Linked DNA regions of Drosophila melanogaster. The protein of the gene in region 3 interacts with the protein of the main gene of each other region in a pairwise test. Each region holds a gene or a part of one and is shown on either strand. Other genes may lie near its edges.

Evidence for each region.
Region 1: the proteins of ro (region 3) and sage interact in a two-hybrid assay, tested with the Drosophila melanogaster proteins (one large-scale study listed by BioGRID).
Region 2: the proteins of ro (region 3) and Irbp18 interact in a two-hybrid assay, tested with the Drosophila melanogaster proteins (one large-scale study listed by BioGRID).
Region 4: the proteins of ro (region 3) and drm interact in a two-hybrid assay, tested with the Drosophila melanogaster proteins (one large-scale study listed by BioGRID).

Annotation. Positions count from the first base shown.
Region 1 is NT_033777.3:9,261,997-9,266,039, reverse strand, and holds sage (salivary gland-expressed bHLH), read left to right. Parts: upstream 1-1,897; 5' UTR 1,898-2,297; coding exon 2,298-2,965; intron 2,966-3,026; coding exon 3,027-3,165; 3' UTR 3,166-3,386; downstream 3,387-4,043. Other genes in the region: TrpRS (Tryptophanyl-tRNA synthetase), read left to right, coding at 1-560, 632-736; ATP6AP2 (ATPase H+ transporting accessory protein 2), read right to left, coding at 3,868-4,043.
Region 2 is NT_037436.4:11,096,852-11,100,115, forward strand, and holds Irbp18 (inverted repeat binding protein 18 kDa), read right to left. Parts: upstream 1,336-3,264; 5' UTR 1,291-1,335; coding exon of another isoform or gene 1,260-1,290; coding exon 1,149-1,259; intron 1,022-1,148; coding exon 791-1,021; 3' UTR 595-790; downstream 1-594. Other genes in the region: CG33947 (uncharacterized protein), read left to right, coding at 162-210, 1,241-1,290; APP-BP1 (beta-Amyloid precursor protein binding protein 1), read left to right, coding at 1,834-1,901, 1,959-2,123, 2,180-2,825, 2,892-3,225.
Region 3 is NT_033777.3:26,876,120-26,883,082, forward strand, and holds ro (rough), read right to left. Parts: upstream 5,053-6,963; 5' UTR 4,987-5,052; coding exon 4,446-4,986; intron 4,341-4,445; exon of another isoform or gene 4,227-4,340; coding exon of another isoform or gene 3,966-4,226; intron 3,718-3,965; coding exon of another isoform or gene 3,475-3,717; exon of another isoform or gene 3,360-3,474; intron 1,658-3,359; coding exon 1,423-1,657; intron 1,051-1,422; coding exon 774-1,050; 3' UTR 652-773; downstream 1-651. Other genes in the region: ms(3)K81 (male sterile (3) K81), read left to right, coding at 1-391; CG5500 (uncharacterized protein), read left to right, coding at 3,475-3,717, 3,966-4,226.
Region 4 is NT_033779.5:3,538,042-3,542,931, forward strand, and holds the start of drm (drumstick), read left to right. Parts: upstream 1-1,691; 5' UTR 1,692-1,936; intron 1,937-4,890. UniProt on the Drosophila melanogaster protein: Putative transcription factor. May function redundantly with odd and sob in leg joint formation during the larval stages, acting downstream of Notch activation.

The DNA.
Region 1 (4,043 bases), about 18 Mb from region 3:
AGAACATCATTCGCATCCAGAAGTGCGTTACCTTCAATCAGGTCAAGGGCATCTTTGGCTTCGGGGACTCAGACATCATTGGCAAGATTGGTTTCCCAGCCGCTCAAGCAGCTCCCGCGATTTCCAGCACCTTCCCCTTCATCTTCGGCAACAGGAAGGTGCACTGCCTCATCCCGTGCGCCATCGATCAGGACCCATATTTCCGCATGACTCGCGATGTGGCTCCACGTCTTGGTTTTCCCAAATGCGCGCTCATCCATTCGACCTTCTTCCCGGCGCTGCAGGGTGCCAAGACGAAGATGTCGGCTAGCGACCAGAACTCGGCTGTTTATCTGACGGACACGCCCAAGCAGATTAAGAACAAGATCAACAAGTACGCCTTCTCCGGAGGACGCGTATCTGTGGAGGAGCACCGCAAGCTGGGCGGAGTTCCGGAAGTTGATGTCTCCTATCAGCTGTTGAAGTTCTTCCTGGAGGACGATGCCAAGTTGGAGGAGGTGAGAGTGGCTTACAGCAAAGGCGAAATGCTTACGGGCGAGATCAAGAAGCTGGCAGTTGAGGTAAGTGCAATGATGATGCTACAATCTTCCCAAAAAACATTGTAATTAATGTGCTCAAATGATCTTCTTAGACGCTCACACCCATTGTGGAACAGCATCAGGCCGCCCGCAAGCTGATTACGGACGAAGTGCTGGACAAGTACTTCGAACTACGACCCCTGAAGTTCGGAAGTTAGAACGGTAGCCGAATTGAGGTACCTGCATTTGCTTGACATCGATTCTTACTACCAGTTTATATGAAATTAGCTTAAATCGAACTAAGCGATATTAGTTTAGCACCGAACCGACTAAGGCACTTCTATGTAAATAGCTATACAGAATTGATCTATGCCTTGGCTCTGAGTCCGTGTGGCGCCCACTTAATGCATCGTTGTACTCGCTATTTATTTTATTTTTTACACAGCGTGTTTATTTTTATAAAGCAGAAAACAATAAACTTCGGCTTCGATTTGCAATTGCCACCACAGTGACCCACATTTGGGAAGTTGTTAGCAAGTCTATACATTTTCCTGGAAACCCGAAACGTTCAGCCAAGGAGAGAAACAAGTCAACTCTCTAGGTTTCCCTAGAAACTACACTCTGCTCATATTCATTTCCGATTCCGGGCAAAGGTGCCTCTCTGGTTAGCCAGCTAGCAAAATAACTCTCGACTTCGGAAAAATGTAAGTAATTTTCTCACTTCTAGTTGTGTGTTGTTTTTTTTTTCTGGTAACCCGAGATCTTGCACATGAATTGAATTTCGCGGGCTATCAGTAGATATTCTTCTAGTTTTTTCCTTGCGGTTTATAGTTTCAGGAATTCTGAATTTTCGGAAGAAAAAAATAATTTGCTAGTTAATTACTATTAATTAAAGAAGATATGTAGTAATAATGGAAACTGTGCTCAATATCTCAGTCTTTTAAGCAAGTATCTATTTCAATTAAGAAAAATCATAAAAATAGGTATAGAATATGTAATATAATTTTTAATAGGATTATAAGAGCACTTAGCTGGCGATCACGGTTTTTCATTGACTAGAGAGAAACCAAATTAGTTTGAAATTAGAATTGGGCGAAGTTTGGAGCTAGATTGGCCAAGCTTAGGTTTCTTACCTTCATATAGACGAACCTATATTCATAACTAGCTATATGCATATGTGTGTATTTTTTAATTAAGTCAAAACACTTGTGTTTACATGCGTCGAAAATACACTCTTTCATATGGGCTGAGTTCCAGTGTGGGTGTTTGTACATAGCGACGATCAAAAAGAAAAACTCAAACTGAAGTTGTGGCGACGATCGTCGATCGCTGATCCCAGAGAGGGATCCGACATAAGTCGGACGCAACTCCAGCCTGCCACACGCGCCTCGATCACCATTCGCAGCCGTCGGAGTCGGATCGATCGGACAATAGCGAGGAAATTAAGCCGCTTTGTTTGCACAGCGATTGGATGGGACAAAAGGACCCTCGACGACAAGTTGGTCCCCTATAGATCACCTGTTGACACACGTACAAAGCGGTGGCCTCTTAAACTAGACGAGATGTGGCCCTCATCAACCCCGGATGAGTAGTCACGTCTCGAATCGATGGATCGATGGTGAGCCATTCATCACGATCGCCAGAGTCGTCTCTAATGCAACTAAAAGTAAGCAAAACAAAAAGGTACAAGCTAAAAAAAAAAAAACCAACCGAGTCCAGGTAAACCTGCTGCAGTCCGGCCAGAACTCTTGATCGGTCATTCGAAAAGCGGCTTAAGCGATGACGGATCAACTGCTGAGCTCCACGGCCGGCGTACCGGGTGATCCACCGCCAGTTTTGGTGCCCGTATCAGCCACCACCGGTGGACCCTATTTGAGCGGTGGATCCGAGGGCGAGGCGGAATCATCGGAACAGCCCGTTCTTCTAGAGCTCGGTGCCCCTCAATCGTCCAGTTGTCCGGCAGTTAGTCTCAACTACACCCTAACCGCGGATGGAGCAGGCTTGCTGGCATATGCGCCAACTCATCCGCATAGCTACTCACCCAGCGTGATGGGTGGCTACGAGAAGGAAGCGCACAATATGGGTCTGTTGCCACCCACATATAGCGTTATACCTCAGCCGGTGTCGATGTGGCATGCTGGCCAGGTGGCCACCGGTTCGCCAGTGGGCTTGGAATGCAACAAACCCAGTGAGCTGGTACCTCCGCCCATGTATATGAGCTATAGCGGCGGTAGTATAGCCAATAGCACTGAGGTGGACATCGCCAAAGAGCACAATCCCGCCTGGCGGGAGAAGGCGCTGCAAATGGAGAAGGACTATAGACGCACCGCCTGCGATCGGGAAAGAACCAGGATGCGGGACATGAACCGAGCCTTTGACTTACTGCGCTCCAAGCTACCCATATCCAAGCCAAATGGGAAAAAGTACTCCAAAATCGAGAGTTTGAGGTAAGTGAAAGTATCTGCGGTAGAGCTCTGTAATATATTTATATGATCTTTGCCTACCCAGGATTGCCATCAACTACATTAATCACCTGCAGGCCATGCTGCGGGAGAGCTCCGTGGGTCAAAATGGCAATGGATGCTGTGCCTGGAGCGGCGGAAGTAGTTCACCTTATGATAATGGCAACGATCATTGGGGAGCGTAACTTGAATTAACGAATATCAAAGGGAATTCATTTAAATATTCAATTTAAAACTTGTGTTATATTATATCCGCAATTTGCCAAAGTCATTCCATGAACCTATAAAAGTTAAGGTCCATACTTTACGATTTTGAGAAGAAAAAAATTGAAATAGCTTTCATTTTATATTAGTTTATCATGTTAACCTTTTTATAAGTGCAATAATTAAATAAATTATCAAGAATACCACGTATGATTTCAATTATCATTTGCCCCAAAAACTAGATAACAAAACCAGGCGCAACTTTGTCTTTTTAGGCTATATATATTTAACTTTACTTTTCAACACTTCACATTTTGATAATTTACATATGATGAATCGTTTGAAGAACTGACTGACTTGGCGAGTATGTTGTGCATATTCGTATATATATATAAACCTAAAAAGTACAACAAAACAGGAAAATGTAACAAATTTCTATGGAATTGTTGCGACGCCCGCAACTGCATTGAAAACTGAAAAGTTTTTTAATACTTATTTATAGATAATAAAACCAACTACTGCGACAGCTGTCCGCACACACACAAACACACAATTTATCCGCTGTTGGATTGAAGTAGAAGTTGGCAAATTTCAACTTAAAAGGGGGACGAAATAACAAAGCGTAACGCAAGCTCCTCTCGCTCCTCCTGCTCCTCTCGCTTCTCAACTCCTCCTGCTCCTCCTTAGTTGTCCTTCTTGATGCGGGTAGAGGTCATGCGGTAAATGATGGAGTCCCTGCCGGGATCCATGGCAGCGATGGCGTAGCAGATAGCCAGCAGAGACAGTCCGAAGACGACCATGAACCACAGGATGATGTTGAAGATCACCGGGTAGTCGCTGCCGTAGTAGACGGCCAGGT
Region 2 (3,264 bases), on a different chromosome or scaffold from region 3:
CAATGTTTTTGTGAGTGTTTGAAAGAAGAAGACGGAAGGAGCGCCCACAACAAAAGCAAAGAGAGCAAGACCTAACGGGACACCCGAAACCAAAAACCTATCGGCACAACGACACTTTCTCAATAGCTATAGTTTTAGTTCATATGTTCATATCTCGGAAAATGGACGAGGTCTTTAGCCTACACATGGAGAAATTGGACGTTTACGACGGTTAGTATCTAATTTGCCGGAAGTTCTACTTAAACGTAGAACATATGTATATGATGGAATCTGGGTTGTATTTCTGATTAATGAGTTCATCAACTTTCAAGGAAATAATAATAGTAGTAGTAGTTGTAAACAGCTGAAGTATTGGGTATAAAATAACACTGATATGGGTAAAATCATAATAGACACTTTATTTGATTCAAGACTCGCATGATTTTAGCTGTATGAATCATGTCGAAAATAATAGAAATCACTATTACTAAATATAGATAATTTTAAAATTTAGATTCAGTGCAACATGGATACAGTGATTAAGTGTTACAATATAAACAAAAGTAAAAGAAAAGTACAACAAAAACAAGTATTTGGTGAGAAATGATAAAAACTCACCAATAATGAAAACCATTTATGTAGGATTTTAACAAACACTGTTCTCGTCTGCATGAGTGCTTGTCTTTGTAATAGAATTCGAGCAATTGCACCATTTTAATCGAAAAACTAAGATGATACACATGGTTAACAACCATGGGAAATGGCTTAAAAGTATGAAAATATAAGAAGGTAAATCAGGAGAAGCTCCTCGTTAGTCATTGTCCTTGGGATCGGGATCTGGTTCAGCGAGAATCTCCTGGATGATTCGATGGCCGTCCTCCGTTTTCTCACCCTGAATGATCAGATCTCTAAGCGTAGATATATGTTTTTCACTCGTCTCGATCTGAACCTTAAGAGCATCGTTTTGCTTCCTCAAATCATCGATGCGTTTCTTACGTTCCTCGGCCGATTTCTTGGTCTTTTCGCGTGTGCGCTGAACAGCCTGTTCCGAGAATAGTAATAAATCAATAGTGGGCATCTATTTTTGGGGACTTCTGGGGGCCACGGCGCCACAGCAACATGTTTCCCAATCTTTGCTCTCTGTTTACATCCAAAACTCTTAAACTTACCTCATTGTTTTTCTTTCTTTTTTCTTTGTACGCTGGATCGTCTGTGTGCGGACTTAATGGCGAATCGCTATTTTTGCTGGTCGACGCGGCAGTTCTCTTTTTGGCCGGCATTATCTCCGTGATAATACTGATATTTATTTAGTTCAAATTGGATCGCAATCGGACGGAAATGCAGAAGAAAACACAGCGATGTATGCGTTGTTTTGTTGTGAAATTACACGATAAAACAGCTGTTCATTAGCCCTCCCAGTGTTGCAAAATGCGCTGCCTACACTGCCCAGCCAACAAACAGTTAGCGGTATTATTTAATTAAATTAATTGCATGTTGAAAATCAATATTAAAACTCACCCAAAACCATAGCCATGGAATGCTATTCAAAAACTGTCAACCAGACACTTTATTTGGTTTGCTCAGACTTTCACTTTTTAATTTCTCAACTGTTTATACATTTTATTTGTAAAGACTGATTGCTTGTACGTAGATGTAGTTTAATGCAATAAAATTAAATGAAATGTAATACGTAATAGTCAATAAATGTTTTAAATAAGCAACAGTTAAAATTACCAACGTGTTTTTTCCAACACTCCACCCAATAAACAAATTGTGTCAGAAGTATTGGCTGCCGGCGCTTTACAGTACTGGATTATTTGCAACCGGCTTATTATTGCACAAAAATCTAGTGAAATGTCCTCGCCAGCCCCCAAATCGCCAGAGCTTTCGGATAAAAGCAAGAAATACGACAGACAAATCAGGTGAGGAGCGTTTTAATTGATAAATTCGGAAGCATAGCACTGATGACACCTATTTAGGCTGTGGGGAGAGCATGGACAGACGCTATTGGAGGCAGCCACAGTATGTTTGGTGAATGTTACGGCCGTCGGCTGTGAAACTGCCAAGGGACTGGTGCTACCCGGTATCGGAGGCTTCACTGTGGCCGATGGCAGCACCGTCAAGGAGGAGGATCTGGGCAACAAGTCGGTAGACCATCACACATTCCCTGACCACCATTATAAAGTCACTTTTTCCGTAGTTTCTTCCTCGATTCCAGCTATCTGGGCAAATCTAAAGCATTGGCTTGCATGCAACTTCTCCAGGAACTCAATCCCGACGTAAATGGCGATTATGTCGACGAGAGTGCCGACTTTTTATTAGCCAACAGACCGAACTTCTTCGACAGCTTCGATTTAGTGATTGCCTCCAATCTCAATGAGCAGACTTTGCTTCTCCTGGCCGAACGGTTATGGGAGCTTAACGTTCCATTAATCTACTGCCGATCGCTTGGCATGCTGGGCACAATACGCTTGCAAATACGGGAACACTGCATCGTGGAGGCGCATCCGGATAATCGACAGTTTGATCTGCGTCTGGAGCATCCATTCGATGCTTTGCGGGAGCATCTCGACGGCACCGAGGTGACCAGTAAGGTGCCCTGGTTGCTGGTTCTTCACAAATACCTTAATGTGTGGCAAAAACAACAAGCGGATGGGACTCAAACGCCTCGAAATTACAAAGAGAAGAATCAGTTGAAGGAGACCATTAGAGAGGAGATGAAGGCGGATGAGGAAAACTATGAAGAGGCCATCAAGGCGGTCAATACAGCCTTTGGAGCGGGACAGGTTCCCAAAAGCCTGAAAGCCATATTCGAAGATGATGCCTGCGAACAGTTAAACAAGAAGGTTGCCCATATAATCTGAATTTATACGTATACTTTACTTTCATTTGTTTTTCTTTTTTTTTTACAGAGCAACGTCTTTTGGATCATGGCCAAGGCCCTAAAGCACTTTGTGATACATGAGAATGAGGGCCATCTCCCTCTGCCTGGCGTTCTGCCGGACATGACTGCCAATACGGACTCCTATATCGCCCTGCAGCACATCTACCGCCAACAGGCGCTGCAAGACGCCGACCAGGTGTATCACAAGTGCCAGGAGTACCTTAAGCAGTTGGCTTTGCCTGCCGACAGCATTGATGAGAGAAGTGTGCGTCTCATTTGCAAAGAAGCAGCCGGACTGGCGGTCATAAGGGGTACACGCATTGCAGAGGAGTACGAGAAGAGCAGTCGCCTGCTACCACTGGGTAAAGATCTATCTATCTATTTTGGAACAACCTTAAATG
Region 3 (6,963 bases):
GATCCAGCTCTACCGGCTGAAGAACAACAATGCGAAGAGACACCTGGCAAATAGACAGGCAGCCAGTGCTATTCTCTCGAGGAGCAGTAGTGAGAAATCTCATGAGTCCGCGGCTAGTGTGTCCACAACACAATCCTCGGAGGAGCAAGAATCAACCACTAGCGCAGCGCCGGCGGCGGCGGCTCAAAGAGCAGGAAGCCAGTTGGTTGAGTCCAATTCTTCCGACGATACACTTTTCTCCGATGACTACGATCCCAGCTCGAATCTGAGTTTGAATGCCGTGAATGGAACGCGGCTACCGAATGTCCAACCAATTCCGAAAAGGCGCCAGTTTGTGCATCTAAATCGTGAAGCTATGGCCATTTATCTGGCGGGAACTACTGGGGGATAATGTTTGTTTCATTTAGGATATTTTCATAAATTAAATTTGAAATAACACTGTTACCATCTATGTAACCATCTATCGATAGTTTCCGCCATGTTATTAGCAGCAGAAACAGCTGGCTGAGCACCAGGGCTGCATTATTGTTTGTTAGTTTTGCTGTTTGGTTTTTAACAAATTTCCTGGTTTTCCCTCAAAAACCCTCTCTTATATAAATAAATCAAGTGCAAAATGCTGAGTCCATAACAACACACGTAAGTTTGTTGGCAAGCAGTGAGTGATTTCTTCGAAAAGTGCAATTCCTGCAATCTGTTATGTTTTCACAATGACTTTTATTCGATCTTAATCTAAACAGTTTAAAGCTCAAATAAATGTAATCAATTAGCAAGTATTAGCAAATGTTAATAGGCGTTGTTGTTTCTCGACGTCGCTGCTGCTGCTGCTGTTGTTGTTGTTTTTGTTGTTGCTGGCGCTGGAACTGGTCATCGATGTCGATGAAATTGGCATCCTGCGTGTTATCCTTGGGCAGCGCTGCCGGCGTCGCTGCCGCGGCATAGTAGTTTAGGCCCACGCCCACCGCCACGCCCCCAGTGACGCCTCCGGGGGGCATGGTCGTGGCAGCCTGACCCATTATAGAGCTCATAAAACCATTGGCCACGACAAAGTTTCTGAAAAATTGATTACATCAATGTACAAAATAATTTCGAGCAACCCCCTCCGGCACAAAAAAAAAAAAAAAAAAAAAAAAAAAATATGGAAAAAAATGATATCGTCTAATTGGGTCTGTGTGCGCATAAATGTCGTAAAATTAATTTCGTGTTAATTTCATGTTGGCCATCAATTAAACTAGTGACATTTCACTAAATTACTTCCGTTTCGAAAATGCAGGTATAAATACCCAGTTAAAATCCTCTTCACGAGCTATTCATCAACCATTAATTTATGTTCATTTAATATTATTTAACTCAATCAAAATCGATGATATCTTTGTACATATGAAACAGAAAAAACGATTCAAATTAGCTAAAGGGGAAACCCACCTGTAGTGCTGATCGATCTGAGCCTTTTCAATGCGTTTGTCCTTGGCCCTGCGATTCTGGAACCAGATCTTGATTTGCGTTTCGGTCAGGCGCAGCGTTTCGGCCAGCTCGAAGCGACGACTCCTGGAGATGTACTCGTTCCGATGGAACTCCACCTCCAGGCGAAGCGTCTGCTCTGTGCTGAAAGTGGTCCTCTGGCGGCGTTGTCTTCCCTCCTTGCGTCGCCTGCGAGCCACTGAAAGTCAAATACATTGATATCCTTACAATTAATACGTGTATAATATCTAGTTGGAATCAGCTTATTAGTTATGTAAACCCCGCACCATTCAGTGTGTACAATAACGACATCCGTCGGATAGCATCATTTTTTCACAGCCCACCCACTTTCGTTTATGTCCAACACAATGGAGATGTTAGAGCGAAATTAATCTTACATTAACAAACCATCAAGTTATGAGCGGGACTAAACGTTTTCGAATGTGGTTGCGTGTCGCTGCGTCAGTTAAACAAATAATTAACCACTCCGATCCGTGGTCCATCCGTCGTCCTCCCTCTCTTGCTCTCTCCGCCCGCCCACCTGCCAGAATTCGTCGTCGGTCGCGTTTGTGGTGCACATTAAAAGTGCATTTACCACGTAGTTTCTGTTCTCTATGTTTTTTTTTTTACCACGCTTTTCATTTCGGCAATCTATGCTGATCCGGGAAAGTTATAACAATGCCAACAGCTGGCTGGCCATCATCATCATCATCATCCTCGTCGAAATTCTCGGCATCATCCGCTCTTTCGAGTTTTCCATTCTGTCGTTTGATTGTTTGCATTCGCAGTGTCGCCGACGATGAAGCTCAACCAAGCGCACATTATGCCCCACTTCATCCTGCAACAACGAGCACCTGCCACCCAGGAACACCCACCACAAACACCCACACCATGGTGAATGTTGCGGTTTAGAGTCTAATTGATGTAACAAGGCGAAGCTGACAAGTTGCTCGGTGGTGTTAGGATGGTGGGGGGGGGGGAGGGGGGGTTTCCCCGGGAAGGGGTTGCTTTGTGGGCGTTGTAATCTCTAGCTTTTGCTTGATTACCCCTAGTCCGGATGGCTCTGGAGGGGCTTAAGCTCTTCCCTGATCCTTGCCGAAGGTTTTTTTTTTTTTTTAAATCACGTGTGTAATTCGATAGCCAAGTGTCCTTTCGGACGGTTTGTTGTGGCTAAAAATGAGTCTTCCTCGCTTAACCCTCCTCGCTTGCTGTTTGTGTTTGCTTTTTTAGGTTTCCTGCCGAGCTCAATTACAATGCTAATTTTTTCAGACACTTGTTATTTTTTTGAGATTGACCAAAAGTTTGGCTTGTAAGTTAGTTAATTTAAAGATCAAGTACTTATAGTAACTACCAAGCTGGTTTAGCATTAAATATATCAACTGTTCTGAATCTAAAAAATGCTTGCATATGTAGAATACGTTTCTGCTCGTAGAAAAGGTTTCAAAGTGTCTTTAACTTTGATTTCTTGCTTACGAATGGCTAACCCATTCACCCTTAACCTGCGATCATTTTCATTAGCCGACGCATTTCCATGTTTCAATATCCCCTCAACCTCATCTCCGCACCTGGCCACCTTGGCCACCTCATCAGGAGCAAACGAAAAAGCCGCAAGTAAACGAAAACTTTCACGGCTCAATGCGTTTTAATTTTTTCTTGGCATTCGGTTATTTTTTTTCCTTGGCTAATTTCTTTGCATTTGGGGGTCAGCAGCAGCAGCAGCAGCAGCAGCTCATTGTGTGGCATTGCTTGGTTGCCCCACCTTAGTTTCGTTTATTTTTTTCCAACTGATTTTACATAATCCTGGCCAGCGCACTCGGTGCGAAGATGTGGGGGATATTCAATATTGCAGCACTGACGATTAATCAGTTTTTTTTTGCGTATCCGACTTTTTTTTTTTGCAGTTCCTGCGGAACCAAGTTCATCTGGGCTGCACCTGCGCAGGCGTGTGAAATGCTCATCACTTCCTCTGGGCCTTTTCAATCGTAACTTTCGAACTCTTTCGGGGATCGGGCGGAAATGTTGGCTCCCCTGGGCTTCAGCTGTCCGCGATGCTTGCTCCTGCGACGTGGCGCCGAGCGTTGGGCCTCACTGGCCCGCCAATTGTCGGGCAGCAGCTCCCAGGATGATGCCAGCAGCAAGGATGCGGCCGCCCAGGAGGCAGCAAGTGGCTGTCCGCCCAATAGCACAACGACGGGCACTGACACTCCCAAAGCCAAAGATAAAACCACCAAGGGAAGGAAGCGGCTCAGAAACATAGAGGTAATGTTGTAAGCTAGTTGTTATCATTGCTATTATAGGTTAAATATCAGTTGGTAAGATTGTAGTTCATTAGAAAGAAAGGATCATCGATCTAGTATTGTAACACAAAACTTAGTGTAGTTCTATGAACTTCTAAAACTATTGAGCAGTATTATCGAAGGATCCAATTGTTATCACAATACTGAAATAACTTTCTATCCTAAGAGGAAAGTGGCTCAAGAGATTGCATATTATATAATCGTTTGCAGATACCTCCCGAGCCCACCACCTGCTGCATGTCGGGCTGCGCCAACTGCGTTTGGCTGGACTACGCACAGACGCTGGCCAAGCTGCTGGGCGACAACGATGAGGAGGCGCGAGAGATTGTGCTGAGCAAGATCACCGACCCGAACCTGAAGATGTTCCTCAGCCTGGAGCTGCGCCAGATGGCTAAGCAGCGGGAGGAGAAGGCGGCGGCGGAGAAAGCAGCGAAGCAGGGAAAGCCAAAGAAATCCTCGCCCCCGCCGTAGTACAAATCCCCGCTCACCTAAATATCTAGTTAGGACCAAATTCGTAGTAGCTCAAATTTACTCTTGTACTTAGTGTGTAAGAACTAAGAAACCTCAAAATAAACATGTAAGAGTTAAGGTTCTGAAGAAGTTATTTTCGTAGTTCTAAAGATTCTGCATAGCTTTGCAAATATTCTACACATTGTTAGAAACCATTCTTTTTTAAATGTAAGTACTCACGAAATGCGGAAAAGCCGGCGCTGAAGTGCGGGTCACTTGGGAAGCCGGCTGGGAATGCGTGTGGCAGGACAGGATTCGCAGCTCCACCGGCGGCAATTGCTGGCGGCGGGCTCACGTAGCTGAGTTTCTGGTGCACCAGCTGCGGCGGATGATGGTGATGATGATGATGCTGCTGGTGCTGCTGGCTAGGATGCTGCGGATAGTCCTTGGCGTGACCATAGAAATCGTAGGCGGGATATGCGGCTAGCGAGGTGCGTTCATCGCTGATGGAAATGTCTGGCGAGGAGACGCTTCCTCCATCGCTGTGATAGGGCGTGTCACAGGGCGGCGGCTTGTGGGCGTGTGTTCCGACGTCGATTTCCCCATTTTCCGAGGAGCGCGTTTCCAAATGCCCGTACAGACGTTCGAAAAACTGTCGCGGCGACGAGGGACGTTGCGGCACGGATAGAATCGTAGTGTTCGCTATGGGATCTAAGCTGTCACTCCTTTTGATGCCCGGCGAGCCGTCGGGTGAGCCAATCTCAACTTTGTGACGTTGCATTTCGTTTGAGGATGTGCCGCGTTAGCTGTCCAAACTAATCACTTGGGTAATCGGCGAGCGACTGAAGTGCCACAAATAATTCTACTTCCGCTGGTCAAGCGACGCTTATCCTGACGTCGACGTCGGCAGAGGAACTGGGTGAAAAAAAAAAACAAAGCAAATTACGCGGCACATCAGAAAATTAACAGCAGCAGCGGGGGCGCCTAAAATGCTGCTTACTAATAATAATAATAAAAAAAAAGGACCCCCTTCCCACTAAACACCTGAAGTGTGGCCTGAAACCCGGTTTGATTGGCTGAAGTGCCGTGCAATTAACCCCTAATTTTACTTCCGGCCAAAGTTTCACTTAAGGGTGGCAAGCAGTGTGCCTAAATAAGCTCCGCCCACTCTTAAGCAAGCAGTACTCACGTCTTCATACAAGCAGTGTGTGCGTACAGTCCCTGGTTTAGCCAAGTTTCTTACCTCGCCAGTGCTTTGCGAGGACAACAACCTTAAGAGCGAGATCCCTAGAGGTGGGCAATCAGCATTTGCTTCTTCAATGTATTTCATGCATTTTTCAAACTACCATAAACGGTCCGTCTAAATGGCAAAAAGTCTATATAAGCAACCGAATCGCGCCACTATCTGTAATTTTACATAGCGCGCGCGAGGGATCGAATCAAATCGAATCGAGTCGAGTCGAGTTCGTGGATTATATCAGCATGGATAATGTGTTCCCAAAACTTCGGTGCGTAAACGTGTGCTGTTTTGGGAAAGAAGTATCGATGAAGTGATAGTGATCGAAAGAACGAAAACAAAAACAAACGATTACGGTTATGTTGCCAATCCGTCTGCGCTGCGCAACCGATTTGCACGTACCGTTAGTTCGCGCAGCTGTCGCAGCCACCGAAAGTGCCAATAAAGAATAATAACAATAAACAAAGACCAACAAGTGGTGACGAAAATAAGAAAAAAAAAGGTACATCCCTTCGATTTTGGCCAATTTCGATTTTGTTTATCGAATTCCCATATCCCCTCAAACACCACAAAATGGGAGCAGTGCAAAACAAATAAAACCAGAAAAATTGCAGCGACTTTTGTTTGTTGTTTTCTGTCCGGATATTAATTGAATGGCTTTTATTTGGCCCCGGCGTGCATTTGTGTTTGTTTCTCTGACGGCTCTGAGCTGCGTTTGAGCAATGCAAAAATATTTTGTTAAAACTCGTTTCGTTTCGTTTAGAGCTTATTTGGCTTAAGCCCGCGAGTGTGTGTTTTTCAGTCGCCGACTTTTTTCCATCCATCAATTTCGGTTTTTTGTTACACTGACATATGCAAATTTTTTGAACATTTTTCGTGCGTTTTATTTTTTTGAGCTCAATTTATAAATACCTTCTGGTTGCACAGAAAAATGAAATTCAGACATGAACCTCGACTTAAAAAGTAATCAAACTGGATTGGAATCAATTGCAAAACAATCATATTTAATGAATTACAAACAGTAACCTTAAATTTATACATCAATACATCACATCATTGTGCTGAAAGACCTTAAAATAAATTTGCAAATATTTAAGCATAGTGTTTTGAGTCTTTAGAATGTTTGTATATTTTTTGTCGTGTGTAGAGCCTCTTCGGCATTTCCTCCTCCAGGCGATGTTTAATAAAGCGAAACCCACATGTTGTTCATTCTGTTTTCCATCCAAAAACAAACGAAAAAAAACAATAACATCAGCCTTTTCATTTCCATTGACATTTATGAGCGGCGCTAAGGGTGCACGCTGCCTCTCGCTCGCACGCAGAACTTCCTGCCTCTGGCCATCCCGCTTGCACATGCAGAGGCGTGGGCGGAGGCATTCGCGAGGGGCTTATTGTGGGATTTCTTTTGATTCCCTAATTCCCACCGCGGGATTTCTCGTGGGCTCGTTTTCATTATCCTGCGCATGCGCAGCATATTACGGGAAAATTGTTATGGAAATGAACGCGGACTTTTATGTTTGA
Region 4 (4,890 bases), on a different chromosome or scaffold from region 3:
TTCATAATTAGTTTCTCCTTCAAAAGGAAGCTCCTCACAATTGTCGATACGTCTCCTTTTCGAGTTTGCTGATTGGCCATTTAAAATATGCAAATTTGATCCGAAAAACAATAAGACAGATGGACACAGATGGAGTGAAACAAAAGCGAGGCGGACAGAGATGAAGCCATCAAAGTGGAGTTGCCAACGGATTGCACTTAAAAATGCCCAAAAGCAGTCGAAAATAATTTGTTAAGCTTTATGGACAGGCGAAAACTTAATTAAAAACAATCCTTTTCTGGCGCACCTAATTAAAAACACTGGGTGTTAAGTTAATGAAGTTTCTTGCTGAATGAACGACACAGTTTTTCAGATTTCATTGAGAAATCGTAAAAGATAAACAGATATGGTGAGGCACAAAAGATAAACAGACCATCAATATGGTGTTTTTGTAGTATTATTTTTTCGGGTCTAAAGAGGCCACACAAGCAGAAGAGCGACAACAAAGGCGGAGGCGGCAAAGCCAAAGGAAATGCGAGAAAAAAGTTTCTCAGGCCCTGAAAACAAAATGGAGCTCCACAAAAAAAGAAGATAAATACACTAAAAATTGAGCACTGCGTAATACGGTTGCTCTGCTCTGCCACTGGTTTTTATATTTGGCCTCTCGCTCGCTCGCAAAACGGGTTAAGAAGCAGTTAAAAAGGGGGTGAGCGAGCGAGACGGCGCGAAAGAGTGGGACAGACAGAGCGCCGCCCAAAGCCACGCCCACATCTATAAAAATATACACAGGTATAAGTGAAAGAAAGTTACCTTTTTAGCCAAACAGCAGCTAGAAAGACAGAGAAGAAGTCCGAGGAAATCCAAAGAAATCGCAAGCTTATTACAGCCCGCATTATCCAGCACACCTTTCACTCATTAGTCGCCTAAACTTAATTGAAATGTTGGCTTACTTAAGCTTAATTAACAGTCAACTCAGGTAACGCCTTCGAAACCACTCAACTCAGGTAGCCTTCTCTCGCTCGCTCACTCTCCAGTTTTCTCAGTTCGCTCTTTAGCTCATTTTCCTCCGACCAATCAGCTGAAACACTCAAAACTCGTTCTCCGCGACCCAAACAGTGCGTGGGAAAGGGACAGCCAACCGAGAGAGGGCTGTAAAAAAGAGGGTAACCAAAAAAAGGAAAACAGAAAAAGTTCAACCCATCAAGCTGAAGTTTTCGATCGTAACTTTGCAGTTGACTCTCGCGCACAGAAGCGTTCGGAAGTGAAATATATTTTATTAATAATATTACCCAACACAGTGCTACCAAACAGAAATTGCATACAATTTGTGTCTTGCCAAATAGCAAACGGAATTTCGTGCTTTCGCAATAGGTAAGTGACGCCATTTTGTGACTTTTACGCTTGGCTTCCGTTAGAAGAGACGCCATTTTGTGGCTTCCGTTTGCCAGCTTCTGTACTTACGCATAAGAACTTAGGGCGAGCGAAAGGGATGGCTAGCGAGCGCTGCGCATGAGCAGTAGCTTCGGCTACCGGTCTTCGTTTTGCTTCGTTTCTCTTCGGATGACTCACACACACTTACACACACTCACACAGTGCCACCGAATTGAGTAACAGACAGGGACAGAGCGATGATCTCGCTTCCTCAACTTGCCAGCAGCGACGCCGGCAGCGACGCCGACAGAGGACGGCGGCAGAGGCGACTACTATTTCTTTCAGTTATTAGTAGCATTCATTCATTCAACTTTGTGCCGCTCGAGCGTGCGTATATAGTTCCCTCTCATCAGTAACAGTATCAGTAACAACATCAGTAACATTTCCTTCGCGAGTACCTTCAAAAGAGATACAAATCGATCTATCCATTCAGCGGACATACGAAAATCGCACAAAACTCAGCTATAGAAATCGGTTAGCCTCTACTCGAGTCCGAAGAACGCGTAACTCCAGTGCATCCCATTGGGTAAGTCTTTCTTCAGCTCCTCTCTTCAATGGCGTTCTTCGTGTTCTTCTGTTCGTCGTTCTTCCCCCTTCCACACTTGTTTCGCTACCAGTTTTACGCCGCTTTCATTGGACAACTGAAAACTGAGCAAAGAAAAGAAGAAGTAAACCCCACACGTAACACGGGTGCGTGTATCGGCCTCTCTTTCTGCCCGGGCCTCTCACTTCGGCTCTTTAGTGTGCCAGAGGGAGAGGGGCGATGCGTCTAATATGGCATGCGTGTGGCCAACGGAGCTTTTCGGCCTCTGTGTGCGTGAGAAAGTGTCGCCATTTGCCAAAATGGCGGACGCCAAGTCCGAATATTTCCCTATTGGACTGTAAAAAGTTTTTACCCGCACTTCTTGACACGAATTCCCCAAAATGGGTGATCTACTTGAAATACAACCGAGTTTATTGATCTCTCATTGTATAGTACAAATGTGTTATTAATTTCCGAAATGAATGAAGAAGAAATAATTTGTATCTCATAAAAAAATGCTCATTAATTTTCGAAAAGAAAACTATTTAATATTATTTTCTATTAAAGTTGGTCTAAAAAAACATTTGAGCTCTCTTCAGAACAAATATAAGTTTTTATTGTATCCTAAACTTTCAACCTGTTCTATTTTTAAAGGTTTCAGTCGTTTTCCATTGAAATTGTCTAGGAATTGAAAACTCTTAAAGCCGTCGGCATTTTTTCAGATTGAAAGAATAGAAGCTGAGAAGTTTAATGAGTCAGCATTAAGAACAAAAAGCCTAGTTTGTCGAAGGTTGATCGCGGACGCACAAAACACGGCAAATCATCGCCAAGAATGTTTGGCATATCATCATCAGCCGTTTTGGTACAAGTTATTTGCCTATGAGTCATGGAGTTGTGCTTTTTTCATTGGATTATGAAATACCAATGAGTACGGCTCAAGCTAACAACAGATGTTCAAAAAGTTGCGTCAAAGTCAGGTACTTTGAAATACCTGAGATTTGGCACTTGTGCGAAAATTCCAATGAATCTGGTGCGAAATCGCAGAAATCAGAACCCATATTCTAGGGGAACTTTCTGGAAGTAGGACTAACATTTACAATATAGGGAAATTCGTTTAACATAGTTATACTGAAGTAAAGTTGTTGTAAGAGTTTCGTGACCTCTGAAATTCTTACTGCTTTCCCGCGACCATTTCTTTCCCGTCTGTCTGATCTTTGACCTCGTCTGGACCTCCCGCTGCGCTCCATCAATTAGAGTCTAATTAGCTAAGCGATTACGGTAAATGGGCTCAGCTGGCAGCTAATCTGCGCCGACTTTTGAGCAACTGTCATATCTTACGGGCTGAAGGTGAGAAGCGTCCGAAATCGACTTGCTTCGGCCACGAAATTCCCATCCGATTTGCGATGGATCTAGGGAAGATCGCTCATACCTTGCCGCATTGTATCTTTGTATCTTGTGGTGTGTTTGTGTTTGGGGTTACGAAGGTATTCCTTTGTTCGCACTGAAGTGGCAGTGCCACACATCCTAATTGTTTCCACCGACTTATTGGTTCTGTTGTCAGGCCAGGATCTCGTGTGTGTGGGTGTTTTTCCCGGGAATTCTGCGCCATTAGCACAATTAGATTCGTATCAAATGGACTTCGGTGCCTTTGTCTTCAGAGCCTTATGTCCTTTTATTGTCATTTTTTCTCGCTTCGGTTTCTTCTTTTCACTTTTCGGTTGTAATTTTTAATGGCACCTTGCCAACTCACTGTCCGCCTCCTACAAAAAATAAAGGGATGACCACGGTGCGAGGTGAAAGAAGTGTGGTAATCGCTTTCGACCATATCCCACGTCCTGCGACGTGTGTGTCACTGCTTTGAGCCCTTTTTTTGGACCCAGTTTTGAGCCTGTTATCGCCCATACCGCTACACATTTATCTCGGGGTGTTAAACTGTAACTCTCGAGGCGGCTCGAGTTTCGTGGAAGCCCCCGACGCACTTACTTCTCTTACCAGAGATCTGGCCATATATAATCTCACTCTCTGTTTGCAGTTTGCCATTTTATTTCTCTTTCCCATCGCTGCAAATCTAATTTCACGCAGCATTAACGCCTTTCGCATGCCCTTCACACGGAAACCCAAAGTCCAGAGTCAGGATCATGCTGTGCTGAAGATCTCCCAGAGATCTCCAGATTTTCAGATCTTCACATCTCAACCTTCCTGTCCGAAACTATGTGTGTGTGCACAACACTAATAATTTTCAGTGCGGATTAATGGGATTATCTTTGAGTTGGACAACAGTTTATTATACAATATTTGGGCAGTTTTCCCTCCGTCTCTGTGGGTGTTCGTTTTTCGCATAAGCGGATTGTAATGTCCAGTTGCAAAATACTAACAGTTGGAGACCGTTTAAAGTCCCGGATCGGAGAAGGTGCCAAGTTAAGCCCGTTTGGATTTGCCATGACTTTGCACAGGTTTTTAGATGGATTCGGATGATTGTTTTGCTTGGATTTTCAACGGATTAAAAGGATATACCAACTTGATCAAAAGATTAGGATTATAACTGTAGGAAGATGCTTTACCTTTCAGTTTTGCTGAGTTAATATAATGAGATTGACTTTACCAATATGGATAGACCATGTGCCATTGGACACCTTTATTATTGGAATGCCCCAGGCCAGCTAACTTAACCTTCCAAATTGATGGGCTCACTCAATTGTCAGCTCGAATTTCACTGTTCTCGAAGGTCTCCCCCGCCCATTTTGCCCCATCCCCAGACTGAAGACAATTCCATCGTCATTCGACGCATCCAGCAAATGGCCAAATAGAGTGCTTAACCCCGGAGAGCAACCCGTGGCTAATGGTGCTCCACTTAGGCCCACGCTCCCAGAGACAAACTTAATACAAGTCCACGTCCAAATGCGAGTCCGAGTCCAAATCCAAAGCAAAGCATGGCCAAATGCGAGACCGATCGAGGC